5 linked regions of the Macaca fascicularis genome follow. The protein of the gene in region 2 purifies or fractionates together with the protein of the main gene of each other region. This does not show direct contact. Links are inferred from orthologs where the notes say so. Each region holds a gene or a part of one and is shown on either strand. Other genes may lie near its edges. The genes, in order: SMAD1, RUNX2, SMAD3, HDAC4 and UBTF.

What was found.
Region 1: the proteins of RUNX2 (region 2) and SMAD1 purify together in Homo sapiens (affinity purification with western blotting; 3 studies listed by BioGRID). This does not show direct contact. The link is inferred for Macaca fascicularis from reciprocal best matches to the Homo sapiens genes RUNX2 and SMAD1.
Region 3: the proteins of RUNX2 (region 2) and SMAD3 purify together in Homo sapiens (affinity purification with western blotting; 3 studies listed by BioGRID). This does not show direct contact. The link is inferred for Macaca fascicularis from reciprocal best matches to the Homo sapiens genes RUNX2 and SMAD3.
Region 4: the proteins of RUNX2 (region 2) and HDAC4 purify together in Homo sapiens (affinity purification with western blotting; 3 studies listed by BioGRID). This does not show direct contact. The link is inferred for Macaca fascicularis from reciprocal best matches to the Homo sapiens genes RUNX2 and HDAC4.
Region 5: the proteins of RUNX2 (region 2) and UBTF purify together in Homo sapiens (co-immunoprecipitation; 3 studies listed by BioGRID and IntAct, with this or other methods). This does not show direct contact. The link is inferred for Macaca fascicularis from reciprocal best matches to the Homo sapiens genes RUNX2 and UBTF.

Annotation. Positions count from the first base shown.
Region 1 is NC_088379.1:150,399,764-150,403,274, reverse strand, and holds part of SMAD1 (mothers against decapentaplegic homolog 1), read right to left. Parts: intron 1,375-3,511; 5' UTR 1,197-1,374; coding exon 797-1,196; intron 1-796. UniProt on the Homo sapiens protein: Transcriptional modulator that plays a role in various cellular processes, including embryonic development, cell differentiation, and tissue homeostasis.
Region 2 is NC_088378.1:126,039,068-126,042,578, reverse strand, and holds part of RUNX2 (runt-related transcription factor 2), read left to right. Parts: intron 1-23; coding exon 24-185; intron 186-1,221; coding exon of another isoform or gene 1,222-1,247; exon of another isoform or gene 1,248-2,762; intron 2,763-3,511. UniProt on the Homo sapiens protein: Transcription factor involved in osteoblastic differentiation and skeletal morphogenesis. Essential for the maturation of osteoblasts and both intramembranous and endochondral ossification.
Region 3 is NC_088381.1:43,772,313-43,776,374, forward strand, and holds the start of SMAD3 (mothers against decapentaplegic homolog 3), read left to right. Parts: upstream 1-1,262; 5' UTR 1,263-1,815; coding exon 1,816-2,021; intron 2,022-4,062. UniProt on the Homo sapiens protein: Receptor-regulated SMAD (R-SMAD) that is an intracellular signal transducer and transcriptional modulator activated by TGF-beta (transforming growth factor) and activin type 1 receptor kinases.
Region 4 is NC_088386.1:135,306,141-135,310,362, forward strand, and holds the start of HDAC4 (histone deacetylase 4), read right to left. Parts: upstream 2,807-4,222; 5' UTR 2,764-2,806; exon of another isoform or gene 2,160-2,763; intron 1-2,159. UniProt on the Homo sapiens protein: Responsible for the deacetylation of lysine residues on the N-terminal part of the core histones (H2A, H2B, H3 and H4).
Region 5 is NC_088390.1:65,276,752-65,280,866, reverse strand, and holds the start of UBTF (nucleolar transcription factor 1), read left to right. Parts: upstream 1-1,305; 5' UTR 1,306-1,732; intron 1,733-2,084; exon of another isoform or gene 2,085-2,199; intron 2,200-3,020; exon of another isoform or gene 3,021-3,078; intron 3,079-3,443; exon of another isoform or gene 3,444-3,774; intron 3,775-3,837; exon of another isoform or gene 3,838-3,978; intron 3,979-4,115. UniProt on the Homo sapiens protein: Recognizes the ribosomal RNA gene promoter and activates transcription mediated by RNA polymerase I (Pol I) through cooperative interactions with the transcription factor SL1/TIF-IB complex.

The sequences.
Region 1 (3,511 bases), on a different chromosome or scaffold from region 2:
GTGATTCTAATGTACAGCCTTAGTACCCCAATAACTATTAACAGCCAATCCATTAACGAAATTGGTCCCAATCTGACGATGAGACATGTAAGTGCTTGACTATCTAATCACTTTCCAATGATCCAACTGTCTAGAATGTAGATTCTAACTTGAGGGCAAAACCATACAAATTTTAAAATATATCCTTTACTGTACCTTTCCAAAAGACTATACATGTTAAAAACTAGGTATATTTATAAAGTAATAGTATCAAATAATTCCATAGAAGAACATAATTCTTTCATATTCACCACAGGAAACATGCCACAGCAAAAGTCACAGAGACGATAAAAAGTGCTGTTCTTCAGTTCAAAATGGTTTAAGTCACTGGCAACTATCCTCATGATATACTTCCTTCAAGCATATAGACAGCAATACTGTATTTCTTTCCTAATTTTCTTCCCTTAGAATACAATTCATAGATAATTTTATCTAGAGAAATGCAGAGAACCATATGAGACATAAAAAATAAATTTAGAAAGAAAATTTATTAAAAATTAGAGGTATTAGTACTGCAATGACAATTGTCATAGCCTGCTCCCAAGACATAATGTTAACTAGAGATGATTAAGCTGTTAAAATGTATGAAACACTCAAGGGCCTTCTCTCTTACATACACACAGACACACACATACAGTTTCCCTGAATATTTTTAAATTACAACTAAAAACAAGGACAGGGATTCTTTTGATGTTCTAAACAACACAAATCCAGTACCGGGCACACAAACTGTATCAACATAAAATAACTCACTTACCAGGGCTTTCTACTCGCTTATAGTGGTAGGGATTGATGCAGACCTCCTTCTGCTTGGAACCAAAAGGAAACTCACAGCATTCCAGTGGTTTTAGTTCATGGTGGCTCTGAAGATCGGGCCAGCGCCATACACGGCAGTAAATGACATGAGGCAGTCCCTTCCGGTGGGAGACTTGCAGCCTGCCATCCAAAGAGCGGGGAATGGTGACACAGTTACTTGGTTGCCCTGGGCAGCTCAAAGCCTTCTCCAGTTCCTCCATGGCACCTTTCTTTTTCTTCAGTTTTTTCACCAAAGCATCAACAGCTTTCTCTGCCCATTTTTCTTCTTCATCGCCCTGTTTCCACCCAAGAAGTCTTTTCACAGCTGGACTTGTAAAGGAAAATAAACTTGTCACATTCATAATGACAGCACTAGTTATATAGTCCTTGGATACGGTGAAATAAAGGCGTCTTCAAACGCAAAAGGACAGCAGAAGAGATCTGTTTATTTACAGAGAAGTCTCTTTAATTTCTTAGTTTGAAGTCCAGAAAAGTAGAAATTACCATTCCTAGTGTTTAAGAAAGTAACCCAGTCAGCACCTACAAAAGAAAAAAAAAAAAAGGTTAGAATCATCTCTACCATACAACCAAATTTATTAAGTAATCACCATGTGCTAGGTACTATTTTAAATGCTTTTATGTAACACGGTATGCTGTGCACCGAACTGTGACCCCTTAAATTCATATGCGGAAGCCCTAACTCTCAGTATGACTATATTTAGAGATGGAGCCTCTAAGAAAGTAATTAAAGTTAAATAAGGTCATCAGGGTGGGGCCCTAATCTGATAGGATTGGTGGTCTTAAGATTGCTATCTCCCTCCTCCAGCCTCTATGCCCACACACTGAGGGCACTGCAAGAAGGCAATCATCTGCAAGCCAGGAAGAGAGCCCTCACAAGAGCCTGGATTGTCCAGAACCTTGATCTTGGACTTTCCAGACTCCAGAATGAAGATAAAATCTATTTCTGTTATTTAAGCCACCCAGTCTATGATATTTTATTATGGCAACCAAAGCAGACTGATACATAGCATTTAATGCTTTTCACAATCCTTTGAGCTAGGTAATACAGTTGCTGCCACTTTTCAGATGAGTAAACTGAGAAGCAGTTTAAAAAGTAAGCCACTGCTAACAAAAGCTCTGGGATAAAAGCAACAAAGTTAAAAAGTCCAAGTTCTCCAAAGACATTGTAATATTTTAGATTTAGATTCACTTATAACCTCTAAAAATATATTTCAAAACACCTCAATCAACAAAAACTGAAAGCAACAGGGAGTAAAAAAAAAAAAATTAGTCTAGTATCTCTGTTTTTTGGTTTGTTCTACAAATATTTCTTATGCTAAAAGAAAATTCCTATTATATAAATGTAGTAATATTTTAGGGTATTTCTTCAGTGAACAAACCTGTGTCTATGGGTTACAGCGCAAATAGGACAGGAAATACATCTCCTGCTTTAAAAATTTTGCTATTTATTGACATAAAAGGAATAAAGCACATGGACACATACTGTACCAAATTCTTCAGCCAAGTTGCTTCATTTAAACTTTCTATTTACCCTTCAGCACATGAAAACATAAAATGTGAAAAAGGTTAAGGAGGCTAACTTTGTACAAACCCTGGCTAAACTGGAGTAGCACATATCAGACCAACCTCCTTCCAAACAAACAAGCCAGAAAACAAACAAAAGCCCAGCTTTTTAAAGGCATCAAAGAGGAACCAAGGCACGCAGGACTTGAGGGGGCCAAGATCCTGGAGAGAGGGGAAATGCAATGAAGTGAGCTGAATATTTGTCACCACTCTTCCTTTCCAGGGATTTGCCAATAGTTATGCTATGAGTAGCAAAAGGTCTAGGAGCCAAGCAGAAAGAGGTAACTAAGAGGCTTACAAACTAAGCAGAGCTTCTAGTAGCCTCATAGTGCTGAAGAACCCCAAAATAACAACACAACAACAAATGGAGTTGAGGGCCTGCTGAGGAGAAACCCTGGTAAATAGTCTAGGCTTTCAATGGAGTCTCCTGGAGGAATATGCCCCAGTCTAAGGGCAAAAATGAAATGGAGCAGTCTTTACAACCAACCTAGAGTCATCTTAATCCTAGCCTTGGTCTAGGTGATGTGTACTGCTCTCTAACAGCTTGCCAGAAGAAAAACAATTTCGCTATAGAGGAAGACATCAACCTTAGTCACTACAATTTTAAATTCACAGTGTATGGCAATGAACCAAAAGTTATCAAGCATACCAAAAACAGGACCAAATGACCAAAACAAAACAGAATAGAAACAGACCTAAGGGGTGACCCAGGTAATGGAGTTACCAGAAACAGACTTTAAAGTATTAATGATTACTACTTTGTATGTCAAGGAAAGAGAAGACAAGGTTGAAGATTTTAACAGAGAACTAGAATCCATAAAGAAGAATGAAATAAAAATTCTAGAACTGAAAAATATAGTAACTAATGAGACTTTAAATAGGATGAACTTAACAACAGGCTAGATACAGTAGAATAAAAGATTAGTGAGCAGGAAGATTGGTAAAAAATGCTCATACTAATGCAAAGAGAGGGAAAAAAATGAAAAATAAAGAACTGAGGAGACATAATGGATCTAGTGAAAGGTCTAGCACCACGTAAGTAGAGTCTTAAAGGAAAAGAAGAAAGACTGTAACAGAGCAATATTTTTAGATA
Region 2 (3,511 bases):
ATTTTTCTTCTTCTTTTTCCCAGACCCCAGGCAGGCACAGTCTTCCCCGCCGTGGTCCTATGACCAGTCTTACCCCTCCTACCTGAGCCAGATGACGTCCCCGTCCATCCACTCTACCACCCCGCTGTCTTCCACACGGGGCACTGGGCTTCCTGCCATCACCGATGTGCCTAGGCGCATTTCAGGTAAAGACCGCGCTTTAACTAAAAATCCATCCCCGCATAGGGGTCGGGGGGAGTGGGATGGGCTGAACCTGTGTCATCCATGCTCACAGTGACTCTCTATTAGAGACATGTGGGCAAGGGAATGACAACTGGCAAATTAAATCTTCTGAATTATGGGGTTATCAAACACTCGAACATTTTAAGTCAAGAGACCAAAAATCTGCCAGAGATGGCATACTTTTAAGATGGTATTTAATGCCGCCCAGTTAGTGTCCTGCTGAATTGTATCCCATTTGGTGGGCACTGTCTCATAACTAGGGCCTTTTCCTGAGGGTCTTATGCCAGGCCTTCCTCTGCTTGTGTTCCTTTCTTTTCCTAACATCTGCCTATAAACCAGATTGATGGCACAGCCCTCCATTCCTAAAGGCTTGTAAGTCCCAGGAGTCCAAGCTAGTCAGTTCCAAGAGAGAGCACCTGCAAACTTAGGATCTTTGTCAGAAACTAGTCATTTGAAGTGCCGTGAGGCCTGGAAGAGTCTTAAAAGGCAATGCGTGGCCTCTGAGTGGCTAACTCAAGAAGGACGCAGCCTTTCTGTGAAGCATCATGCGTGCTGCTGTCACTTGCAGCCCGGCAGCCCAGTGCTCACAATTGTTCCAAAGGCACTACAGAAATGTGTGGCCCATGGGGGAGTGTGTGTGACAAATGACCTGGCTGCCCCTCTATCCTGGAGAATTCATCACAGAGAGCCAGAAAGTGTTCACGAAGACTCCCAACTGACAAGTAGAGAAAAGTTAAAGGCCCTTAGCTGACTGTATGAGTCCCGTGAATAAGAAAAGAAACCTCTTGGTCCACCCTGACATATGAGCTGCAAACATTGTCCCCACTCAATGACGTACATCCACAGAGAGGCACACACCCCATTGGATCCCACGTTTGCCAGATACTCTTCTCAGCGTTCGGGCCCCTGCACCTGTTTGACTCCTGGCCAGGTTAATGCCTTTCTTTCTTTCTCTTTGTGTTTCTGTCTGTTTCTCTCCCTCTCTCATTTTCTGCAAAGCTCGAAGCCGTTACTCACTCCGCTGAGTTGCATCACTGACAAGCTGAAGCTCCACCAGCAGGCTTGCGGGTTTTGATTAGTTCAGACTCCTTTATTTCTTTCAACTTGGGAGGAGGGAAGGCTTTGTTTCTCAAGCAAATAGCAGGAAAGGGCTCTCTGGTCCTAGTGCCTCACATTTTCTGCAGCAGATGGACTCCCATGGGGGTGAGTAGGGAAAGAAGAGGGGTGGAGGGAGAACTGCAAGGTGTTTTGGGAAACCATGTTACCACTTTTCATTGTGACTGCTGTTATCATTTTTACGAATCACACAGTATGTATTGGGTAATTGTATAGAGTGTAGAATTTTAGTTATCATTTCCCTTGCCTGGAATCACCGTCGCCTTTAGGCAAACATTAATTAAAGATAACGGGAAAGGATGAGTAAGGCACAGTGGGGATAACGAAGGCTGATGCGAGATTAAAGGCACAGTGTTGATGGTGTTAAGTTAGTTCTGGTTATTCCTTCTACATTTCATACTGAGAGTCTGTTTTGTTTTACATAGGGCCAAAAGGACACTTTGACAGAATAGACTTATGCAAACTTGCTTCTGTTTGGGGTCTCCTGGGGCTTCCATCTGCCCAACCCACCGTGGCTGAAGCAGATTTTGCTATTTTTTTCTCTAGCAGTACCTAGAGGGAAAAAACCTCAGGGAGTAGTGTTAGCATTAGAGACACTTACCTACAGCAGTTTCCTACTGAGGTATATTCCTGTGAGTTCATCAGGAAAGCCATTGAAAATGACATCGGAAAAATGCTGCATAAACGAGTAGTCATCATTGTTTATCATGTACATGTGTAATGGAAAACAGCCAGATTATTTCAAGTTACTTTACTGAGGGTTACTTCAAACATTTCCACAAAACAGTAGCTTTCCCATTTCACAGAGAAGGAGGCAGGAGCAGAAACTGGTTAATTTTCCAGCCATATATCTATCTTAGGCCAAAGGTAGGAGTGAGCCTCTGGTTTAAACTGGTTTATACTGAGTTTAGTCCAGTTTTTTCCTCCAACCCTTAACATTTCTGGAGTTGTTACTGGTAAAGTAACATGGTGCCAGGGTGGGAGGTTCTGTATAAACAGTAAAGAGAACAGAAAATCCTTCTTGTCAGCATGTAGGTAGGGAAACAGGAAGAAACAACTAGATGTGGACTGTCAGGGAGCTGGAGGAGCACTGACTTACCTGACCTTGCCCTGGGCTGCGGGACTGTGCCTGCACAACCAAGCACTGCCTGGCGGACTCAGGGACCATGTCATTGGAGTGTGCACCATTTCTAATTCCCTGGGAACTAGTCCTGGGCGCCTTCTTGGGGAAGCCTGTCTCATAGGGTCCCAGGTACCAACTTAGACAATGTATAGCTTATGATTCCTCTCAACATCTAAAGCCAGTGTCTAAGTCCATGACCTAGAGGCTCCTACATGTGAGACTTAAGCATGAGGGCTTTTTAAATTTGGAGTTTTTTTTTGTATGTGTGTGCTTTAGTAAATAAAGCCCTTTGGATTGAGTCCATTCTTGTGCCTTTAGTCTTCATAATGCTCTGTGCCAAATAATGCTGTTTCCACGTAACACGGACAGCTAAAAATATTAACCTCTATCCCTGTCTGCAGGCAGTCCCGTGGTCTCTTTTTGAGACGCTTTGCAGAACAGTTTATGTTTTTGTGTGCATTGATCAATTTTCATCTCCATATCTAAAGGGATACACAAAATATTCTCATATGATTTTGGATGAGAAAGAATAAAATTCTTCACTTCACAGTAGGATTGGATGTTCGGACCCAGGTTTGAATCCCAGCTCATACATATATCAGGCAACTTCTTACTTTTCTGAAACTTAGTTTTATTTTTTGTAAAATAGGCATACAATACTCATCTTCAGGGTCGGTGTGAAGATGAAGTGAGATACTTTATATAAAGTGTTTAGAACTGGCCTGGCACATGATATGTGCCAAATAGATTGTAGCTGATATTATGAAGCTAAAATTGTTTTGTAAAAATTGTATATCCATATGTAATTTGCAGGCAAGTCTTGTTAAGTGAGTCAAATTAGATTAGATAAAAATCTAAACTTTTAAAGGGAACTTTTCCTTCACAAAATGGATCACCACAGAACGTATTTAAAACAAAGCCCTTAGATTATCTAAACATTTAAATAAGTTAATACTCACATGGCATTCACAAAGCACTTAATGCAGTACCTAGCACATAGAACTACTCAGATGTTTCCCATTATTATTATTATTCTGTAGATTTAAAATA
Region 3 (4,062 bases), on a different chromosome or scaffold from region 2:
CTTTGTAACTCCCCACCCACTTGAGGGTTTGCAGATAACTTTTTTTTTTTTTTTTTAAACAAAGCGGGGGTGGGGGGTGGGGGATTCCTGCTGTTAAAAACAAACAAAGGGCTTAGACACCGGCTAGTCAACTGCGGGAGGCAGCAGCAAGAGAAAGGCCAAGGGGCCTGGAGTAGCTCCTTAAAGCCGCCGAGGGCCCTGCGGCCAGACGCCCCTGAATTCTTTTGGTGGGGTGAAAAGCCCCGGAGCTCCCCAATGTGCCAGTTGGTTTGTTGTTGTTTTGCTTTTTTTGAATACACAAACTCTCCGAATACTCGTCTTGCCCCACTTTTTTGTGAGTTCATTGCTCTGGAAACAAAACTCTTCCATTTACTGGGAATTATCAAATTTCCGATCTTTCTCTATCAGGAGATCCAGCAACACCGTGTTATGTAAATTTCTTCCAAAGATAAATTCGAAAGCACCTCCATTCATTCCTTCAAGAACTCAACAGATGTCCTTGAGGCTCATTTTCTGCCGGGCACTCAGTTCAGAAGGCTCAAAGGATCCCTGGCTCCAGCCATTGTCCAGGTTGTCACTGGTGTCCCCAGCTCTCCATTTCTGAGGACCCACTTCTCCCCCCCCCACACCCTCCTCCGCACACTTTCCCAAGGCTCTCGGCCGGTGTGATCTCACCAACGAGAGAATAAAAACAGCCCAGGGGCGCGGGCGCGGGCGCGGGCGCCGGCCAAGAGCCTTGACGGGGATCAGCCAGCGCGAGGCCAAGTGCGGGCCCCAACTTCCTGGGCCCGGGCCTTCCGCGCGCCCCCTCTCGGGCTCGGGTCCTCTCCAGGGTTCACTCCCGTCCGGACGGCGCTTACTTGCTGCGAGTCCAACCCTCTCCGGCCCGCAACTCCAACCGAGCCGCACAAGTGTGGACTCCGAGAGCGGACGCCTCGGGCCGCGCTCAGCCCTCCCGCCCGAGGCCCCTCTCGCCGCGCGTTTCCCAGGACTTCCTCCCCGCGCCCGCCCGACTTCAGGTCGGGGCCGCGCGGGGTCCCGCGCGCTCCAGCCAGGACTGCCGCCGCCCGCGTTGCCCACGTGGGCGTGCTGGGCACGGGGTGGTGGCCGGCCGGCCAGCCGGCCGGCCGCCCTCCCCGGAGCAGGGGGCGGGCAGGGCGCCCGCGGGAGGAGGTGGCGGGGCGCAGGGGAGGAGGCGGAGAGCCCCGGCGGCGAGGGGGCGGTGACAGCGCTTGGAAAGGAGGCTGCACGCGGATTTGCATGAAACACAGACTGGGAGCGGGCGGGAGCGGGAGCGCGGCGCACGCCCCGGGCCGGCCCAGCCAGCGAGCGAGCTAGCGGCGAGCCGGGAGGAGGAGGGTGGCGAGGCGGCGAGGCAGCAGAGGCGGAGGGATCTGCGCATCAAAGCTAGCAAGGCGAGCGAAGTTTGGCCGGGGGTTGGACTTTCCTTCCCGGAGGCGGCACCCAAACAGCTACCCCGTGCGGAAACCCAAACTTCTGCTGCCACTTGGAGTCTCGCGGCCGCCGCCTCCGCCCCGCGTTCGGGGCCTTCCCAACCCGGCACCGCTGCCGTCCGCCCGCCCGGCCGCCCTTCTCTTCGCCGTGGGAGCCGCTCCGGGCGCAGGGCCGCGCGCCGAGCCCCGCAGGCTGCAGCGCCGCGGCCCGGCCCGGCGCCCCAGCAACTTCGCCGAGAGTTGAGGCGAAGTTTGGGCGACCGCGGCAGGCCCCGGCCGAGCTCCCCTCTGCGCCCCCGGCGTTCCGTCGAGCCCAGCCCCGCCGGGGGCGCTCCTCGCCGCCCGCGCGCCCTCCCCAGCCATGTCGTCCATCCTGCCTTTCACTCCCCCGATCGTGAAGCGCCTGCTGGGCTGGAAGAAGGGTGAGCAGAACGGGCAGGAGGAGAAATGGTGCGAGAAGGCGGTCAAGAGCCTGGTCAAGAAACTCAAGAAGACGGGGCAGCTGGACGAGCTGGAGAAGGCCATCACCACGCAGAACGCCAACACCAAGTGCATCACCATCCCCAGGTGGGGGCCCGCCCGGGGGACCCGGGGACACGCCGACCCGGCCCCCTGGCACTGCGGGGCCGACCCATTGGGGTTGAAGATGGGAAGAGGGAGAGAGAGGGAGTGAGACTGTGTGGGTGCGTGTGTGTGAGAGTGGGAGCTAGAGCGCGGGCAGGAAGGGGGTGGGGGGACCCCAAACAAAACCATCTCTGCATTTGCAAAGATCAGAGCCCGAGGCTTCCACACGGCACTCTGGCTTCCAGACCTCACATTCCCTTTCCACCTCCGGGAGGGGAGAGCGGGTTGTTGCGGGACTCGGCCGCCCCCACCCTGGGGAGCTGGGGCTGGAAGTTGAGGCCCGCTTTGTTCGGCTCCGCGGGCCGGAGCCCCTCCTCCGCCGCCGCCGCCTCCCGCCCCCGCGGCCCGCGCTGGTGGAGGTGGTGGTGTCTTTGCGTTTCTTTTCTTCAGTCCGGTCTCCCCACTTTCCTCTACAGGAATGCGGTCCGTACAGCTGGGGCTGTGGGTGAGGAGCGGGAGCCTCGTGATTGACAGATTCCTTCTTCGTTCTTTCTTTGCCTTCGGGATTAGCATTTTTATCGAGTATTTTTAGACTCGGTTGTGCCAGTCTCCCGCCCCCTGAGCACGCACGCACTTTGGTTGCAGTGCAATGCTCTGACTTCCAAATGGGAGAGACAAGTGGCAGAAAATAGGGTCTTCTCCCCCACCTCCCACTCCCCATCCCGACTCTTTTGCCCTCCTTTTGGTCCAAGAGATTTTGAGTCCGTGCAGAATGAGGGAGAGGGGCGGGCTGGAACCGGGCAGATAACAAAACACACCCCAAAGTGGGCCTCGCATCGGCCCTCGCATTCCTGTAGAGCCCTCCTTCCCAAAGCGCGCTGCCATCTGTCTGCATCTCCTTTATCCTTCCTGTTGCGCGCTAGCTAGGTCGGGCGGGAGCCCACAGATGGCTGATAGAAAGGGTCAGTGACTTCTCTCCACTCCCCCAGGGCCTTCCTTAGCTTAGCTGTGCCTGGCTGGGAATTGGGGGTGGGGATACCTTGACTTCCTGTCTCTACCTCTCAGCCTCCTTTGATTCTGAACCGAGGGAGAGAGTGTGTGTGTTGGGGGCTGGCTGTTTTGGGGGTCCCAGGCTGCAGAGGAATGAGTAGAAAGCACCAGGGACTGTAAGCCAAAAAAGGGATTGTCATCCCTGCCCCTGGGCCAGGGTGGACTCCATCCTTGGCCACCTGCTTGGGGCAGTTGTACAAGGGCTGCCAGGCGAGTCAGGCAGGCACAAAGCAACATCTGTCCACGGGAACCCAGGGCAGGCCTCCCCTGGAAATAAATGCCACATATGGTGGGAGTGCAGACTTAAATTTTTTTTTTTTTTTTGACTGGGTGGATCCAGTCAATAAAGGGGGAGGGAAGGCGGTGTGCTGTCTGGGGAAGTCCCTGGCCGTGTGATCGGGAGCCAGAATTGACTTCAGAGGAGGTGGTGTGATGTGATGGTCAGAGAGACCTGGGATTTGGTTCCAGCTCTGGTTCTTAATTCTTCTGTATTCCTTCGGTGGGGGTGGAGAGGGTAGAGTGGGTGAATATGCTACTTCTCTGTCTGGGGAGGGGTCTGTCAAACCTACCTTCCTCTTATCTGCCTGGGTGCATTGAAGACAAGTGCTTTATGCATTGAAACAGGAAAAAAAATGGTATCAATTATAAAACAGGCAGCTGTGAAAAGTGTTTCACGGTTTACAAAGCACTTTCACATGGTTTTCTGAGGTCCTCAAAACAAGATAGAAAGCAAGCAAGCAAGCAACCAGCCCTGGAAAGTAGATAAGGTTGTTAGGCTTAACATTATCACGTTTTTAAAGCAGAGGAAACTTTAAAAGAGAGAGGTGAAAAGGCTTGAGTTGTAGACGTGGGATTCTGACAGAATGTGCTCTTTCTGCTGACCCATGCTGCTTTATACTTTGAAGATCCTGAATACATTCTTTGCTGAATGCTAAAACTGTGTTAGCTTGGGGAGGGCCCTGTGGATGTTTGTATGTGCGGTTGCTTCTTTAAT
Region 4 (4,222 bases), on a different chromosome or scaffold from region 2:
AGCTTCTGAGCTATGAAAGCCCAGCCGTTTTCAATAGAGAACGGTATGGACGAATTCTACAGGAGTGATGAAATGCTTCTTCTGCTCCGGCAATTAAGACAGCATAAAGTCGCCTTTCCTTTGGTGCCACCCCCAACATCAAAGGATTGGAATTCAAAGCCATTCATGCTGCATTGAAACCTCACAATGAAGCTGGAGAATGGAAGTCGATTACTGGGCATAAATATGCAGTAGTTAAAAGGAAAGAGTTATAACGAAATTAAATGCAGCAACCCCACAATGTGTGGAAACTTCCAGCACTAGAGCCCTCCTGGTAAACATCCATAGAGCATCCTTCCCAACCAGGTCTCTGGCCACAGAGAGTCCAGATGGGCTGCCTGAGCCGCACGTGGCCAGTGTGCCAGGTTGTTCTGCCCATCTTGCTACAGCAACAGCCCCCAAGGCCTCCGAGAACATGGCATTTGCGGATTTTTATTTTGCATGGCTAGGAAGCTGCTGAACACAGAACATTGTCCCTGGTTCAGGACTCCGAGGCCACATCTGCCCTTCGTCCCCAGGCCTTCCAGGCCTATGTGCAGTCCAGTCATCTTCCCTCTGCCCCGCCCCTTAGCCCAGGGCTCCCCGGGGGGCATGCCTGCTGCCAGCTCCCCTTGCAGAAGAAAGAACCCTAAAGAGGGCAGCGTTGCCTCTGCCTGCTGAGTACAGCCGGCTTCTTTTCTAATTGATTACTGCTCTCTTTAGGATGGGATTTGATCTCTAAAATAAAAGCCCAGAACACAGAAAGCTATAGAAGTCTTACAATGTGTTGGGGTGTGTGTTTTTAAGGCATGAAAATACTTCCCTCCCACACAAATGTGAGTTCTTCTGGGGAAAGATGCCACAGATCCCAGAGAGTAGAATATCTGGGAAGGCTCGATCAGTCTTAAAAATAGGTAATTGAACACAGATTTTAGAATTCACAGGAGCTACCTGAAAAAAAATTAAATTTCACATATTTTTGATATCCAAAACTCCATTCTGATGAAACTTCTAACTGGGTGGCATTCTGCATTTCCAATTATAATAGAGTAATTGTGTTGCCATAGTTACTGCAAAATTCTGCAATAACTTTTGTTGCTTTGTAACTGCTGTAGTGTATATTTGTGTACAAGCAGCTGAGTTTTCTTAATTCGATCTCCCTCCCTTCCACCCTCCCTTTCCCCAGTCACCACCACCACCTTTCCTGGCTGGGTCCTGAAACCACCACACCAGCCTTCTTTGGACAGTCCCGAAAATAATGCACAGAATTATCAGAAGCAATTAAAACTCCAGGCAACCACGATCATATTACAAAAGAAAAAGTGAAACCAGGTCAAGGTGCAAACCTGCCAGTATCCCCCCAGTCCTGCTGGGCTGGCGCTGGGCCAGGGCTGTTTACAGGTTTACTCCCAGGCCTTAACTGCTTCGGTGATTTGTGGGAATAAACAGAAAAGCCTGAATAGAGAAAAACGGGGCGGCAAAGTGACTACACAGGCCCTTTCCTCCCTCACGGAGAGCAAGCAGAACTGCTCTCAGCAAGCAATTAGGTAGGTCTCTACAGTCATGCAATTAGGATTTAGTTAAGAAAGTCATTAGTTTTAAAATAACTTAAGTTTAATTTCTGCAACGCTTTATTTGAAAATTGTGTCACAGCAGGTCAATTTACAACATGCAATAAAGAAAACACTCATATCAGCTGCCTCAAGTTATTACAAATTTTTGATGTGCATTAAATGAGTACACTGGGTTCCACCCCCGGCCTTTCCAACTGATACGCACGGTCTCCTGCTATAACAGTGTCAAATAATTCAACGCTCAATGTAAATACGAGATAATTTGCTTATGATTCCGTGGTGTGTTTTCGCAACGCGGGGAAACGCGGATCCCACCCCCGAGCTGGACCGGGCCCCGTCTCGGCCTGCGGGCGCCCTGCGGGCTGAGCCGAGGGGGTCCCGGGCAGCACCCCCGCCTCCCGCGAACCCCCAGGCGCTCGCAGCGGCGACGACACGCGAGGGGCCGCGGACCCCGGCAGGGACGTTTTTCTGCAAACTCACAGCATTTGACAAAGTTACATAAACGGCGCCCGCCCGGCCCCGGCGCCCGCCCGCCCCCGCCCTCACTCCCGGCGGCCCGGAGCCCACCTGCTCGGGGGGCGCGGGCCCGGCACCGGGCGACGGCGCCGCTGCCTGCCGTGCCCACCCCCGCGCCCCCGCCCCGGCGGGCGAGGCCGCCTCGCGGCGCGGCTGGAAAGGTCCAGAAGGGGCCGGGCGGCCCTGGGGACCGGCGGGTCCCACGGCGCGCGGCCCGCGCTGGCCCCCGCCTCCCACGGCCGCGCGCGGGGCGGGTGTGGACCGGCGGCGTCCACCTGCCGCGGGCTCCGAGGCCTGCAGGCTGCGCGGGGCGCGGGGCGGACGGCGGACAATGGCCCGCGGGCGCCGGGCCGGGGCTGCGCTTACCGCGGCGGGCGGCGGCGGCCGGCTCTAGCCCTGCTCGGGCGCTCCGCGCCGCATCTCCTCAGCCTGCGCCGCCACCCGCCGGCGCGCGGGCTCGGGCTCGGGCGGCGACAGCCGGGACGCGGCCGCGGCGCCGCCGGGGGCCCAGGCTGGGAGGCTGCTCGGGCGGCGGCGGCGGCGGCGGCGCGGGCGGGCGCGCGGGTTCGGGCTCGGGCTCGGGCGGCGGCGGGGACGGTGCTCCGCGGCGGCGGCCCCACAACCTCCCCTCCTCATTCACAAAAAATTGACCCACGTTGAACCATGATGCTTCTCCCCCCTCCAGCGTCGAGCCGGGCGGCGATAGGCCACCCTGCACGCCCGTCAGCCGACCCGGCCCCGCCCCGCCCGCCGGCGGCTCGGCAACCACTGGCTGCGGCAGCCTTGCGTCACCTCCCCATATGGGCCCCGCCCTCCCGCCTGGTTTCTAATGAAGAGCTCGTCAATTACGGCTCGGCCCCGCCTCCCGCCCGCCCGCCCCGGGCGCCTGGCCGGCCTTCCATTGGTCCGTTGAAACCTGCGCACGGCCCGTCTGCTCCCACCCCTCGCCCCGCGGCTGCCCAACCGCGGGGCCGGACGCCCCGTGAGCGGCGGAGAGGCTCCACCCCTGCCCGCCTCCCCGCACGCATCCTGGACCTCATTGGCTGCTGGAGCTGTCAATTCTAGGGGGCGGGGCGTACCAAAAGACGCTCCAGGCGCCAGCCTCTGGGTGCTTCGCGGTTGAGGAGGCGCAGAGACCCGGAGCCAGTAGTGACCGTAAACACGGGCCCCGGCCGTGTCTAGTCCCACTCGGTAGCCCGCATGGCTACCTAGCGGTCAGCACCGCGTGTTTGCGAGCCTAATTCGCGCTTAGAGGGCACACAATGGGGTGCAGGCTGAGGCGGGGAGCTGGCCAGGCCTCGCCGTTGCCTCCATCTTGGGTACTGGCAGTGGGTCACGTGGTGCTGCGTGCGCACCGAGGCGCAGGGCGGCCCGGTCACCGAGTGCGCAGGCGCCGCGGGCCTCGCCCAGCCCCGCGGCGGGAACGCGGCTGTCTGGGTGTGCATGGGGTGCAGGTCTGCCAGGCCTGCAACTGCTGCTGAGGGTCGTGGGATGCGCTCGTCGGGTCCCTGCTCAGGCGGAGGGAGCCCGGCCCGCCGCCAGGGTCTCGAGTCACGGGCCAGGCAGGCGTGGAGGTGGTGGGAACTCCGCACCGGCCGGGCGGGTGTTGTTTTAAGGCCGCAGAGCTTGGGGGGCTTGTGTTGAGTTAAAGGTCGGCCCGTAGATCCCCGCAAGCGCCTTTGGTTGCCAGCTGGTGTGGGCGGGAGTCTTCAGTGGCCACCCTCCTGCTGGTGATGTTTCCATTTCTTTCCAACAAGAGTGTGACAACTTTTAAACTTGGGTGCACACACTGTCCCCGGAATCCCGCGTTCCAGGGAGGAAGCGCCTTTGACAGCGCGCGCCGGTGCGTGGGGCCTGACGGCGTGGGCCCAGGGATGCGGACCTGGCGGGGATGAGCGTTCGCTTCGATTGTGGGCCATTCCTCTTAGATGAGCAAGGATCCGTTTTTACAGCATTCTCGACCTTTGATTCTTGGCGGGGGGGGGAAACTGTAGTTGTGTGGATAAAAATACAGTTAGCAAAATAAAAATGCCAATTTTGCATTTCTTTAAATATCTCAATAACGAATAATTAGAAAACTCTGGTCATTGTGAGAAGTGCTTACTCTGATATGG
Region 5 (4,115 bases), on a different chromosome or scaffold from region 2:
GTTAGGGGCCTAGAAGCTGAAATTAATCTACGAGTGGTAAATCCGCCTCTCCTATATGCCAGTGCCCCCAAAAACAAACAAACAAACAAACAAAAACAGGACACACCAGATCTTGACAGGGCTTCCTCCCTGTTTGTGAAACGTGACAGAAGTGGGATCTGGAAGTCCTGGGAAAACAATCTCATTTCTCCCAGGAGACAAGAGGAATTACAGCAGCAAAGAGGCAGGCCGAGTGGAGGAGAAGGCTGCATGCCAGGGGAGAGTCGAAAGGGGCTGGGTGATCCAGCTGGCCGAGATGCGGGAAGTAGAGCCTCGGTGTGGGAGACTGGCAGCCTGAGAGCCAGGAGCAATGGCGCTGCCCCAGAAGCGGTGGCTGGAGGCTGGGCCTGCTGGAAGCAGGCTTCCTTCAGATGGTCTTCTGGCTCCCTGCGTCCTGTCCTGATAACCTTTCCTCTGAAAAGGGGAGGCAAAGACAGACAACCACAGCCATGGTAGTGGGAGGGTGGGTGGTGGACCCCGTCCAGGCCTTTCATCCCCGGCCTGCAGTTTAGTGAACCGGGAGACGTCTCGTCGGAGGCTGCTCCGCTGCCGCCCGGAGCAGCGAGAACCGGGTGCTGGGCTCCCCTCGCGGCTGCCCGCCGCCGCCGGGGGGCAGCGCCTGCGGCCTGCTTTCCCAGGGCCGGCCGAGGCTTTTTGACAAGCTGATTGCGTGGCGGGGATTGGCTGGTCCGGGCGTGACGCCGGTAACAACAAAGGTGGAGTTGGAAGAAATTAGATTAAAGGAGAGAAAAAAAATTAAAGGGGGAGCTGGCAAAAGACAGGAGGTATAGACCGAGGGGGAGATGCGCCAAGTGGTGTCTCCCGGTTCCGACTCCCCCCGCCGCCTCGACCCCAGAAGATCCCTCGCGCAAACCCACTGGGATTTTGCTCTTTCCCCTACCCCCGCCCAGTGACCGACGCCGGGGTAGGAAGGATAGCCGCTTCTTCTTGAAAAATCCCCGCAACTCCCACCCTGACACCCCTCACTACGACCCAGGGGGAGAACTTTTTGCTCGGACTCCTCGGATCCTAAACCCAGCGAAGAGGGGGACATTGATAAGCTCGTCCTTTTAAAACCCGGAAGGCCCTCGCGGAGCATGGAGATCGGATAAGGCGGGGTGCTCCCTCGGTTTTCCGATGTGTTGCAAATCTAAGAGCTTCTTTCTCGCTTTTTTTTTTTTTCCCCTGTAACTACCCCCCCTCCCTTTTGCTTCAGGGTTGCAAAAGCAAAGAGCAATAAAAAAAAAAAAAACCGCGCACACACTCAGACACACACCAGTGGCGACAGGGGAGAGTTGGAAAGACGCAGGAGAGAAGCAGGAGGCAGGAGGCAGCGGGGATGGAGCAATGGGAGCGGGAAGCAGGCAGGTTTCCTTGCAAATCCCCCTCCGGCCTCACGCCGCCTCGCCAGCCCCGGCAGGGGAGCGAGGACCCCGGCGAACAGATGGAGGAGTGGAGCTCGCTCTAGGCAGCTGGGCTTGGCCGGAGAATGGAGGAGCCACCAAGCGACCGGCTGATTGGAAGAGAAACGCAGAGCGATGGAGGCGGGGGTAGGAGGACGATTTCTCTGCGGGGACTGGCGGCGGCGTACACGCCCGGGTCGGGCGCTGCAGAGCTTGGCTGGCTTTCAACCCGCGCTCGCCGGCTCCAGCCCCGCGCGCCCCCACCCCTAGCCCTCCCGGCGGCTCCGCAGGTGAGTGCGAGCTGCGGGCAGAAAGATCCAAAAGTCTCAACACGCCCGCCCTGCAAAAAAGGAAAAAAGAAAAAAAAGGAAGAAAACCATTTTACTTAAAAAAAAATTTTTTTTTTGTGCAACCCCTAAAGCAGTGGGAGGGAAGGGGTGAGGCTGAGCCGCCCGGAGGAGGCGGAGGGGCCAGGCGAGGCCGGGGTGGCCCGGGAGGCGGCGGCGCCGAGGCGGCTCTGACGGGCAAGCGCTCGGAGCGGCGCTGCGCTGCGCCGAGGCGGGCGGGCGGGCGGGCGGAGCGGGGCGGGCGGAGCGCGGCGCGTGGGGCTCGCCATTAGCCGTCGCTCCGCTTCGCCATCTCGGGCTTTGTCTGGCGACTCGCTGCCCCGGCGTCGGCTGCAGCGGAGCTGCGGCTCGGCTGTTCCGCCCGCCGTGCTCCCAGGTGCCCCCGGCCTGCGCTCCCATCCACACGCTCGGTAAGTGAGCCCGGGCGCCGCGGATTTCGGGGGAGAGGGGTTGCTACGAGTGGCGGCGGCACCGATCTCCATGCGCCCGGGCAGGCCTGGGAGCCATGCCGGGCTGGATTGAACCGGCTCCCACAGCGGCCCCTCCGCCGGAGCCCGTCGTTCCCTCGCCGTTTCCGGGGTGTAAAGAGCAACGGGGATTTTTTTTTAATGCAGAGATTTTCGGTTTTGGGTTTTTTTAAAGTTTCCTATGTACCGTTCGGCAATGAGAGGATCGCGAGGTAGGCGCCGAAGCTGGACGCCGCGATCGGCGTGCGTGCGCCCCAAACCAGTGGCCACGCTCCGGGGGATGAGGGTGGGCGCGGACCGCTCGCTCCGGGAGGCGGGAGAGAGCTGGCCTGGAAGCCCCAGTCTGAGCTGGGAGGACTTGGGGGAGAGCTCCGGAGCAGGGCTGTGGGCGCCCCCCAAGCCTTCCTGGCCGCCGGGGGCCCCTCCGGGCACCCTCTCCGCGGCCGCGCCTCGGCCCTCCCTCCCGCGCCGGCAAAGCCTGCTAGTTCCCCCGCGGGTCTGGCGAGGTCGCTCTCGGCGCCCGCCCGCCCGCCCGCCCCGGCTCCGAGCCCCGCCGCCATCCGGGCGGCTGCGTGTCTCCCTGCCCCGGCCCCCCCCTTCCCCGGCGGCGGCGGCGGCGGCGGCAGCAGCAGCAGCAGCAGCCGCCGCCGCCACCAGCACCACCACCACCCCCCTCCCCTCCTTCCTTCCCTCCGCCTCGGCCGCCCGGGTCCCCCCAGCTCCCGCCCCTCCTCCCAGCTGCCCCCCGCGGAGCCCGCCCGGGCAGGCTGTGGGAGGGAGCGGAGCCGGCGAGGCGGGCGGGCTGGCGCTCGCTCCCCGGGGGTCGGTGTGCGCTCTACGGGGAAGGACGCGCTCGCTGCCCCGCTTCTCCCGCCCCCCCTCCCGCTCCTCCTCCTCCCTTCTCCCTCCTCCTCCCCGCTCCGGCGGCTGAGGCTGCGGCGGCGGCGGGGGGTGTGCGAGCTGAGGCCGGGGCCGGCGGCGGGCGGGCTGCCTGCAGGCGGAGGGCGCTGTGCTTTGTGCTTTTCGCCGCGAGGAGCAGCAGGCAGCAGCCACAGCCGCCGCCGCCGCCGCCACAGCAGCAGCAGCCGCCGCCCCAGCGCCGCCGCCTCGCCCGGAGGAGGAGCCGCTGCCGCCGCGGGAGGGAGCTGCGGCTGTGCCCGGCCGAGCGGGGGAGGGCGCCGCCACTCAGAGCCGGGGAGGGAGCCGCCGGAGCGGGAAGCCCGGAGGCCGCGCTGCGCCGGGTAACCGAGGCGGCTGAGGACGCGCGCTGGGTTCGGGGCCGGACAGCAGGGAGCGAACCGCGGGTTGCGGTGGGCGCCCAGCAGGGACCCGGAGCGACCACCGAGCAGGGGACCGGGCGCGAGCAGACCAGGGCACTTGGGAGGACGCCGAGAGCCGGGGGAGGGGAAGGCAGGAAGCGAGGCCTGAGCCGAGCCACGGCCGCTGGCGGAGGAGCCCGCGCTTCTCGGATCCGGCAGGCGCAGTTCTCCCCGGCCGCCGGAGGGGGCGGCGGGGCCGGTGAGCGCTGCGCCCCCGCCTCCCGGCCGCCGTCCTCCCGCCCTCTCCTTGGCTCGGCTCCCCGGAGGCCGGGGCGGGGGCGCCGGCGGGGCTGGGCCGCAGGCTCGGGGGAGGAGGCGGCGGTTCCCGCCGCGGTCGCGCCTCTGTGCCGGGCTCCTCCGTGCGCGTCGGGGTGGCTGGGTGGTGGCGGCGCCTCTGGCCGGGGTGGGTGGCTCGGGGGCGGGGGGCAGGCTAGGCCGCTTCTCTCCGGCTGCTCGCCCGCCTGTGCGGGCGGGGACGGCGAAGGGAGCCCGGGAGGGGGGAGCGGCGGGAATCCGGATCCGGTCCCCGGGGGCGGTGCG